2 linked regions of the Saccharomyces cerevisiae S288C genome follow. The protein of the gene in region 1 interacts with the protein of each later gene in a biochemical or structural test. Each region holds a gene or a part of one and is shown on either strand. Other genes may lie near its edges.

Region 1 (3,132 bases):
CGCAAAAGGGTTATACATTTCCCGGTGCAGGCTCCATGATTGAATCATTGGCATTCTCATCTAATAGGAGGCCATCGTACTGTGGTAAGCCAAATCAAAATATGCTAAACAGCATTATATCGGCATTCAACCTGGATAGATCAAAGTGCTGTATGGTTGGTGACAGATTAAACACCGATATGAAATTCGGTGTTGAAGGTGGGTTAGGTGGCACACTACTCGTTTTGAGTGGTATTGAAACCGAAGAGAGAGCCTTGAAGATTTCGCACGATTATCCAAGACCTAAATTTTACATTGATAAACTTGGTGACATCTACACCTTAACCAATAATGAGTTATAGAGGAGCAATGCAAAATCTAGGGGTAGAATTACTTTTTGAAAAGGAAAAATATTCAGGTTTGTTGTTTTTATGTAAGTTGTATGATTTGATATACATATATATATATATATAATATATATTGTACATGTGTTTTTCCGGGGAAGAATGGATTATCCGGAGGTGTGAATAAAATGATGACGATTATAGGTTTGTGTTGTAATATTTAGATAACTCAATTCTCGCCAGTTTGAACTCCAACCTAGACTGGTTCAAAGCTTTTGCTATCAAGATGAGATATATGGAATTTTCGTCTTTATCGTCCACTTGTATCTTTATTTCCTCGTCATCTTCATCAATATTGATTCCATTAATAATCGATTTATCGCTCAGAGTGTTGACCAATTCGGTCTTGTTGGGGAAGAAATGTTCCATTTTTCTTCCCAAGTTTTGAATTCTTTCACAAACCCAGGCAATTCTTTGTAAGCCTAATGCAGCAGAAGAACCCTTTAAAAAATGGCCCAGATTGTCTAATTCGGTAAGATTTTTTTCACCGTCCAGCTGTCGTTGCATTTGAGCAAAAGTTGTTTGTGCCTGGTCGATAAATTGAATAATTAGACCTTTAGAAAAATCGGAATCATCGTCATCCATAGATATAATTTCATTTAAGATGGTCCAATTGATGATTTCTGAGGGAATAGTAGACATTATTGTGTGTATTTTCTTGTTTCCGAGAACGAGTGTTGTTATTTCTTTTGAATTTTTCAAAGAAATAAAACTATTACACGTCAGTGGTTATCAATGATCCAGAGCACAACTATCGACCAACCCAACCGGTTTAGAAATTAAAAACAATAATGTTCCTAAATATAGGTTCAATTAAATTTGATAAAAATATTAAACTTTTTATGTAATTTTTCTTCAGTTTTTCCGTTTCGGGCGGGTTACGGATGTATTGATGATTATGTGGCATAAACGAATTATATCTCCGGTATTCAATATGTAAAGTTCCGTTTCTATTTACCACTATTTAACGGAATTTTTGCTCCTTTGCCCTTCATGTCTTATGATAGGTTTTTTAGAAAGAAGCAGGGTCAACCTCTCGCTCTGACAAGGCAATACGCCGGTAGAGGATGAGGATGAAGAGGAGGATACGTTTTGTAAATCTCTTTCCATGACGTGCATCATTTTCTCAAACTTCTTGAACAAAAGCTCTGCTCTAACCATTAGGTCATTCCAATCCAACTTCCCGTTAAGTTCATTAAAAAATTTTAATATTTGGTCGAACTGATTTAGATGTTGTAAAATAGCTTGTGAGTTTTTCTGTAGAATGGCCAACATGAAGAATAATTGGAATTGTGAACTGTAGTAGAAAGTCCAGAAATTCTCCCAAATGTGCATAATATCTTCCATTTCAAATTCTCTCTTGAACCATACTAGAAGCATTCGAAAGCAAAAGAACAAGTTTCCTGAATCACACTTGTTTAAATGTTCGCTCAATTCGGGTAGCATTAATTGTACCAATTCCACGAGAGTTAACATTTGTTCATGGATGCCACTCTGGTCTCTTAGAAAATTTCTTTCCATAATGTCCATGAAGTGCGTAAAACACCAAAACGTTTTCCATTCTTCCTTCATGATGACATAAATAGGCGATAAAAGATCGGTCATCCCCTGCACGTAGCCTAAGTTTGTGTTGTAGACATTATAAGTGATAAGAATGTTTTGTAAATGTATCAAATGTGGGTTCCTGACTCCATCGTCTGCATCATCGCTCTCGTCATTAGCGGATTCGGGGCTGGTACTGTTATTTTCATTTGCTGGGAGTTGTTGTGGCGGTGGTGGTAATCCATCGATGGTATTGTATTGAAATATCTCCAAGTTTCTATCACAGCGTCTCACATCTTTAGATATTCTGAATAATTGATCGTTCCAATATTCCTCTTCATCTTCATCGTCAAATTGTAAAAAATCTTTTGACCAGGTTAGTTTCAATTGATCGTATTCCGCGGCTAAAGTTTGATCGATTTGTACCCTCTCGTCTTGAGAAGAATCCCACGGATATATTTCTAAGAGAAAACCCCAAACTTTCCCTCGCAAACTGTCATTTTCTAACCCACCATGAAATATGAAATCCTTAACTTCGTTTACCGTGACCCTCAGCCTCCCATCGTTCTCATCCCATAGCGAATTCCATTTCGCTTCCGTTAAAGGAAATTGTCTTTGCAGAGCATTATTTATTTCAGTATCACTTAATTCATCAGTTAGATTCAGGTCGTTGAAAATGTTATTCCTATACGAATCAAAGAGTTTGTTCTGCTTTTGATACCTCTCAGCTTCCTGTTTTACTCCTAATGACCAGTTTGCCAAATACACTCTTGCAGAGTCATAATCCTGTTCAATTTGTTTAACCTTCTCATTGTTCAGAAGCTTTTGCAAGTATTCATTGTCGATTTGTGATTTTTGTATGGGTGAGTTGTTAGTCAGCCAACTATCGATAAAATTGGTAGACTTGGTAGTCACGTCTGCTATCTTGCTCATTACGTTCCATTTCCATTCTTGGAATTTCTCGTTTAGTTTCACACCGGCGGTAGCGAGTTCAGTTGTATCTTTCTTCGAATTGTTATAACTTTCCAATAGATCCTTGGAAACGAAATTTCTCAAATCATTCAAAGAGGGATTTACTAACCAAAACTCTGGCTCTAAGTTTGATTTCTTGAGTTCCATCAGTTCGTTGATTTTGTTTCTCAAATCTACGCCACCCCAATACAATTCGTCCGAGTCATCAAATGGGTTCATGGATTTGCGTAGTCTT
Region 2 (4,524 bases), on another chromosome or scaffold:
AATATCAATCAATATAACGGCCAGGTATATCATTGGATCTCCTTCATAAACCATGATTGTGAACCAAACGCCTATATTGAGCAAGTAGAAGAACATGAGGAACTGAGGTTGCATGCAAGGAAACCAATAAAGAAGGGGGAACAAATACGTATTACGTACGTCAATCCCTTACATGGGGTGAGGTTGAGGCGTAGGGAATTAAGAGTTAACTGGGGCTTCTTATGCCAGTGTGACCGCTGTCAAAATGAACTATCTACATTTGAAAGAGTTCCAAATCTAGAGAAAAAGAATGCGGATGCTAATTTAGGAGTAGAAAAAATAGATTCCAATGATAGTAGTGAAGATGGCTCTAAGAAATCAACTGGTAATCGTAAATCTTCCATGAGAGAGGCCCAGCCAGATTTAAAAGAAATACTGAAGAATGGAAAAGAATTTGAATTAGACATACCAGAAACTGTTGATACACAAGGGAATGTAAGAAAAACCTCAGTCAGATTCGATTCAAACGTTTCGGTCGCAGTGGATGAAAGATAAGAGATAAACGCATACTAAATTACTGTGTCTGTTATTGTTTTTGGCTATATATATATATATATATATATATATATAGTAAATATAAGAAAAACAAAGAAAAAAGAAATGAGAGTGAATTTGAGAGCGGCAGAAAGAAATAAAATTCAAACATTTTGATGTAGATAACTGGAAATAACTGAAGGGGATAAAATATTGAACGAAAAGAAAATGATAATCCTCCAAGATCACATAATAAATATAAAGAAACTCCTCAGGAATACAGAATGTCCTCTGCTAACTTAGACGCAAGGCTATTTGTAAAATTTTATGATAGCTGGTTTTCTTGAAGTGTAGATTGTGGTAATTGCGGAGTGGAACCCATTGAGGAATGTGGTACAGTGTTGATTTCATGTTCCAAATTCGGTATGGCTACGTCTGACCTAGCATTAGCAATGGCGTTGTGATGCTGCTGCTGCTGCTGAGCATGGAAAATTTGATGCTGCTGTTCTTGTTGACCTTGTTGAACATGCTGTGCAGAAGATATAGAGGCACCTGGGGTAACAGGGGTAGTAGTTGACGGATTATCTTGTGGTAACATGGCTAACGACTGTTCATTAATCGTATTAGGATTCGAATTAGCAGTATTGGTGTTGGAATGAGTTTGTGGCGAAGAGTTGCGAGGTGGTAATTGCTGTTCGCATAAAGGAATACGGTCCTTTAGATAACGTATTAAAATTGAGTGTAAATCATCCCTCGTGAATGGTTTGGCCAAGATATCATTCATTCCATGTTGTAAGTATGTGATCAAGTCTTGATTCATAATGTTACCTGTCATGGCAATGATGGGAGTCTCATTATCAAAACTTCTGACAATGGATGTCGCTGTGGCACCATCTAGGTTTGGCATAACAATGTCCATTAAAACCAAATCATACCTATACTTCTCTAGTGTTGAGATAGCTGAAAGACCGTCGCTGACAACTTGGACAGTACAGCCATATTTCCGTAAAAATTTTGAACACAACTGTATAGACACTGCGTCATCTTCCACCAACAGTACATGGAAACCTTTTCGTAGCGTGACTGTGTTATTTTGAGCATTTGGTGTTAGGCTATTCTGATCGGGTAAATTAGGTAGTTGTAAGGAAACTGTAGATGTTGCCGGAGAAGCATTGTTGGTGTTGTTGTTGCTTTGGATAGCTGTTGTTGTTGCTGGGTTGGTATTACCAGTTGGGTTACGGTTTCCATTGTCGCCAAATATTGGCACTTCAATACCATTATTTGCCAAAGTGGAACACAGAGTGTTGAAGTTGTTGAGTAAATTTTCATTTATGGTCTTGAATGTTATCAAACTTTCGATAACCGTATTGTATTTCGAGTTCAACTTTTGTAGTTCTACTTTAGTAGCATAACTCTCCATTTTGGACATATCCAACTCCTTTTGTAGTTTGTCTACTCGCCTTCTTAGATTTCCAAATGCATCTTTACTTACGGTATTGCTTAACAACAGCTCTGTGGTGGATTCATTCAAAAGAGACCCAGAAGGATTGTTGGGGTTAGTGCCTTCACTATTGAAATGCAAAAGAGCCTTTTGAGATTCATCCAAAAGCACTTTCCTTTGCGCCGGAATTTTCCTTTTGATGTTATCGAGACCTTTTCCGTAATGGACTCTAAATTCTGGATGCTGAAACTCCCAACTTTGTTCGCCATATTTACATCTCTGTCTTTCCTCGGGACTTCTCTTAACCTTGTGAAAGTCATACTTGTTTAGTTGCCTTACAAAAGATGCAAAATTTGAATGTTTGAAGTGATTAGGCAATATATGCGTAGTGAACTTTCCTGTGTCCAAAACGACGAAACTTTTGCCGTTCTCAGTCCAAGTTACAATGTCAGGATATTCATTGTTTTCCAGTATCCTGAACAGTTTTCTTACGAACTCATTTGCTGGAGCCTTTGCTCCCGCATTAGCACTGCTGATATTTGTGTTTCCAGCTGGTTGTTGAACGTTATTAGTCTTGTTGTTAATGTGCAGCATGTCAGAAGAGTTGTTTGGCTGCATCGTGTTCATCAGTCGAGGCCCGCTCTGCAACAAGTCCATTCCTAAAAGGTCTGCAGTCGAACTGTTCTCGGTGGTGTTATTATTGCTATCGCCGGTGGTTTTATTGACGTTGCTATTTATGGTGGAAAAGCTCATAGTGGATATCAAAAGTAAGCAACGAAAAAATAGGAATAAGAATAATGGAAACAAAGAGAGGATAAAAAAACTTCTATAACAGTCCTTTAATAATACAGCAATTTCGTTGCTTTTTTGTTGGTCTTGGAAAAAACAGAATGTCCTCTAATGAGCGAGTTAAATATATGACCCAAACAAAAGCAGCAAGCCTAGGTAAGATGTTGGAAGATAGTAAGGTGACCAGGGATATCTGTGTAATGTTAGTAAAACTTTGACAAATGTTTCAGATCCTGGAAGCACTTTCAATCTTGTCACATTCGATGGGATGACAGTTAAGCTCAGTAAAGCTGACCACATTTTGCTCATAGTTAAAGAAAGAAAAAATTCAGAATTTCGGAAAATCCATGTACGCGCATCGATGAGCCCTGCCCTCACTTATGGCATCCCTATTATAGCAAAACCCTGCTTATACTTGTGTTAGCCCTACTTTTAATCGACTTTAAACCTATGCATTTAAGAAAAACTTTTTTTTTTTTTTTTTCGGATGATATAACCGACCTATAATTTCCGAACCGACTTTGGGAAATCACAGCGAAGCGTTTACTTAAGCCCTGATTATATATAGATGAGGGGTAAATATGTCAAAGTACAATGGAATGGTGAGGTATAAGCAGTGATTATGAGACGTGATAAACTAGAAATTTGCAGGAACAATTATTCATTTTTTGGAGTTTAAATAAAACGAAAATACATACATACTTTACATATATAAATAGAAGAAATGTTTCGATAAAGTGGGAAAAACGATTAGAAGATACAAATTAATAATAGAAGTAGAAATAAAAGATAGAAAAATTAGAAAAAAATAAAAAGAAAAGGAAAAGAAGAGGAAGGGCAAGAGGAGCGATTGAGAAATCATATTTCGAATCTTCCACTGACAAATTCGTCATCCATGTGTTGGTCGCCGTCGAAGTCCATCTGCGAATGGCTGTTGTTCATATTTTTCTCTTGGTTGAATCCATCATTGATGTCCTCGTCCCCGTCATCATCGATGACATCTTCGTCTGGAGGTAAGTTTGGATTTCCCGGGATAAAGGAACCAGGTTCCATAAAGTACGAGTTTTGTAGGAATTTTCTGTTGTTATTAACGTGTTCATCGATGGCGGACTCATCAACAAAGGTGAAACCAGCAAACTTTGCTTGCATGGCTGGAGATAGCGGGGTAGCAGTCATCATCGGCTGGTGCTTGTTCATGTATGAAGTTGAAGCTGTTGTGAACTCTGGGTCAAAATTCGAGGTATCCGTCTCCGAGACTAGGTGAGGTTTGAAAGGTGGTGGAATTTTTTTCTGCTTCAAGGCCTCCCAGTCGATATCTGCGAAAAATGGATGAGCTCGTAGTTCTCTTCCATCATCAATGGCACCGAGTCTATGTTTGGGGTTTCTGTTTAGTAAACCCTTTACAAAAGACCTCCCCTCTTGTGACAGTACGTCTCTGGGGAATTTGACTTTACCAAAGGCAATTTTTTGGTACATTTTTTGATTATTTTCCGCAAAGAAAGGGGACCAACCACAACACATTTCAAATATCAAAACACCTAGAGACCAGAAATCGACCATTTTGGTGTAGCCGGTTTCGTCCAGTAACAATTCTGGTGCCAGGTATTCCGTGGTGCCGCAAAATGTGTTTGTTCTATCCTTCAAGTCAGCTTTAGAAAGACCAAAATCGCAAAGAGCGATGTTACCGTTGGCATCGAGTAGAATGTTTTCAGGCTTTAGGTCCCTGTAAACGATATCGTTATCGTGTAAATGTTCTAACGCTAGGACTAACTCAGCGATAT

What was found.
Region 2: of the proteins of YPD1 (region 1) and SKN7, one has a biochemical effect on the other in vitro, tested with the Saccharomyces cerevisiae proteins (2 studies listed by BioGRID).

Annotation. Positions count from the first base shown.
Region 1 is NC_001136.10:32,894-36,025, forward strand, and holds YPD1 (Ypd1p), read right to left. Parts: upstream 1,026-3,132; coding exon 522-1,025; downstream 1-521. Other genes in the region: PHO13 (4-nitrophenylphosphatase), read left to right, coding at 1-341; GTPase-activating protein GYP7, read right to left, coding at 1,344-3,132. UniProt on the Saccharomyces cerevisiae protein: Phosphorelay intermediate protein that is part of the branched SLN1-YPD1-SKN7/SSK1 two-component regulatory system, which controls activity of the HOG1 pathway and gene expression in response to changes in the osmolarity of the extracellular environment.
Region 2 is NC_001140.6:510,915-515,438, reverse strand, and holds SKN7 (kinase-regulated stress-responsive transcription factor SKN7), read right to left. Parts: upstream 2,708-4,524; coding exon 839-2,707; downstream 1-838. Other genes in the region: SET5 (S-adenosylmethionine-dependent methyltransferase), read left to right, coding at 1-534; serine/threonine protein kinase SCH9, read right to left, coding at 3,602-4,524. UniProt on the Saccharomyces cerevisiae protein: Transcription factor that is part of a SLN1-YPD1-SKN7 two-component regulatory system, which controls gene expression in response to changes in the osmolarity of the extracellular environment.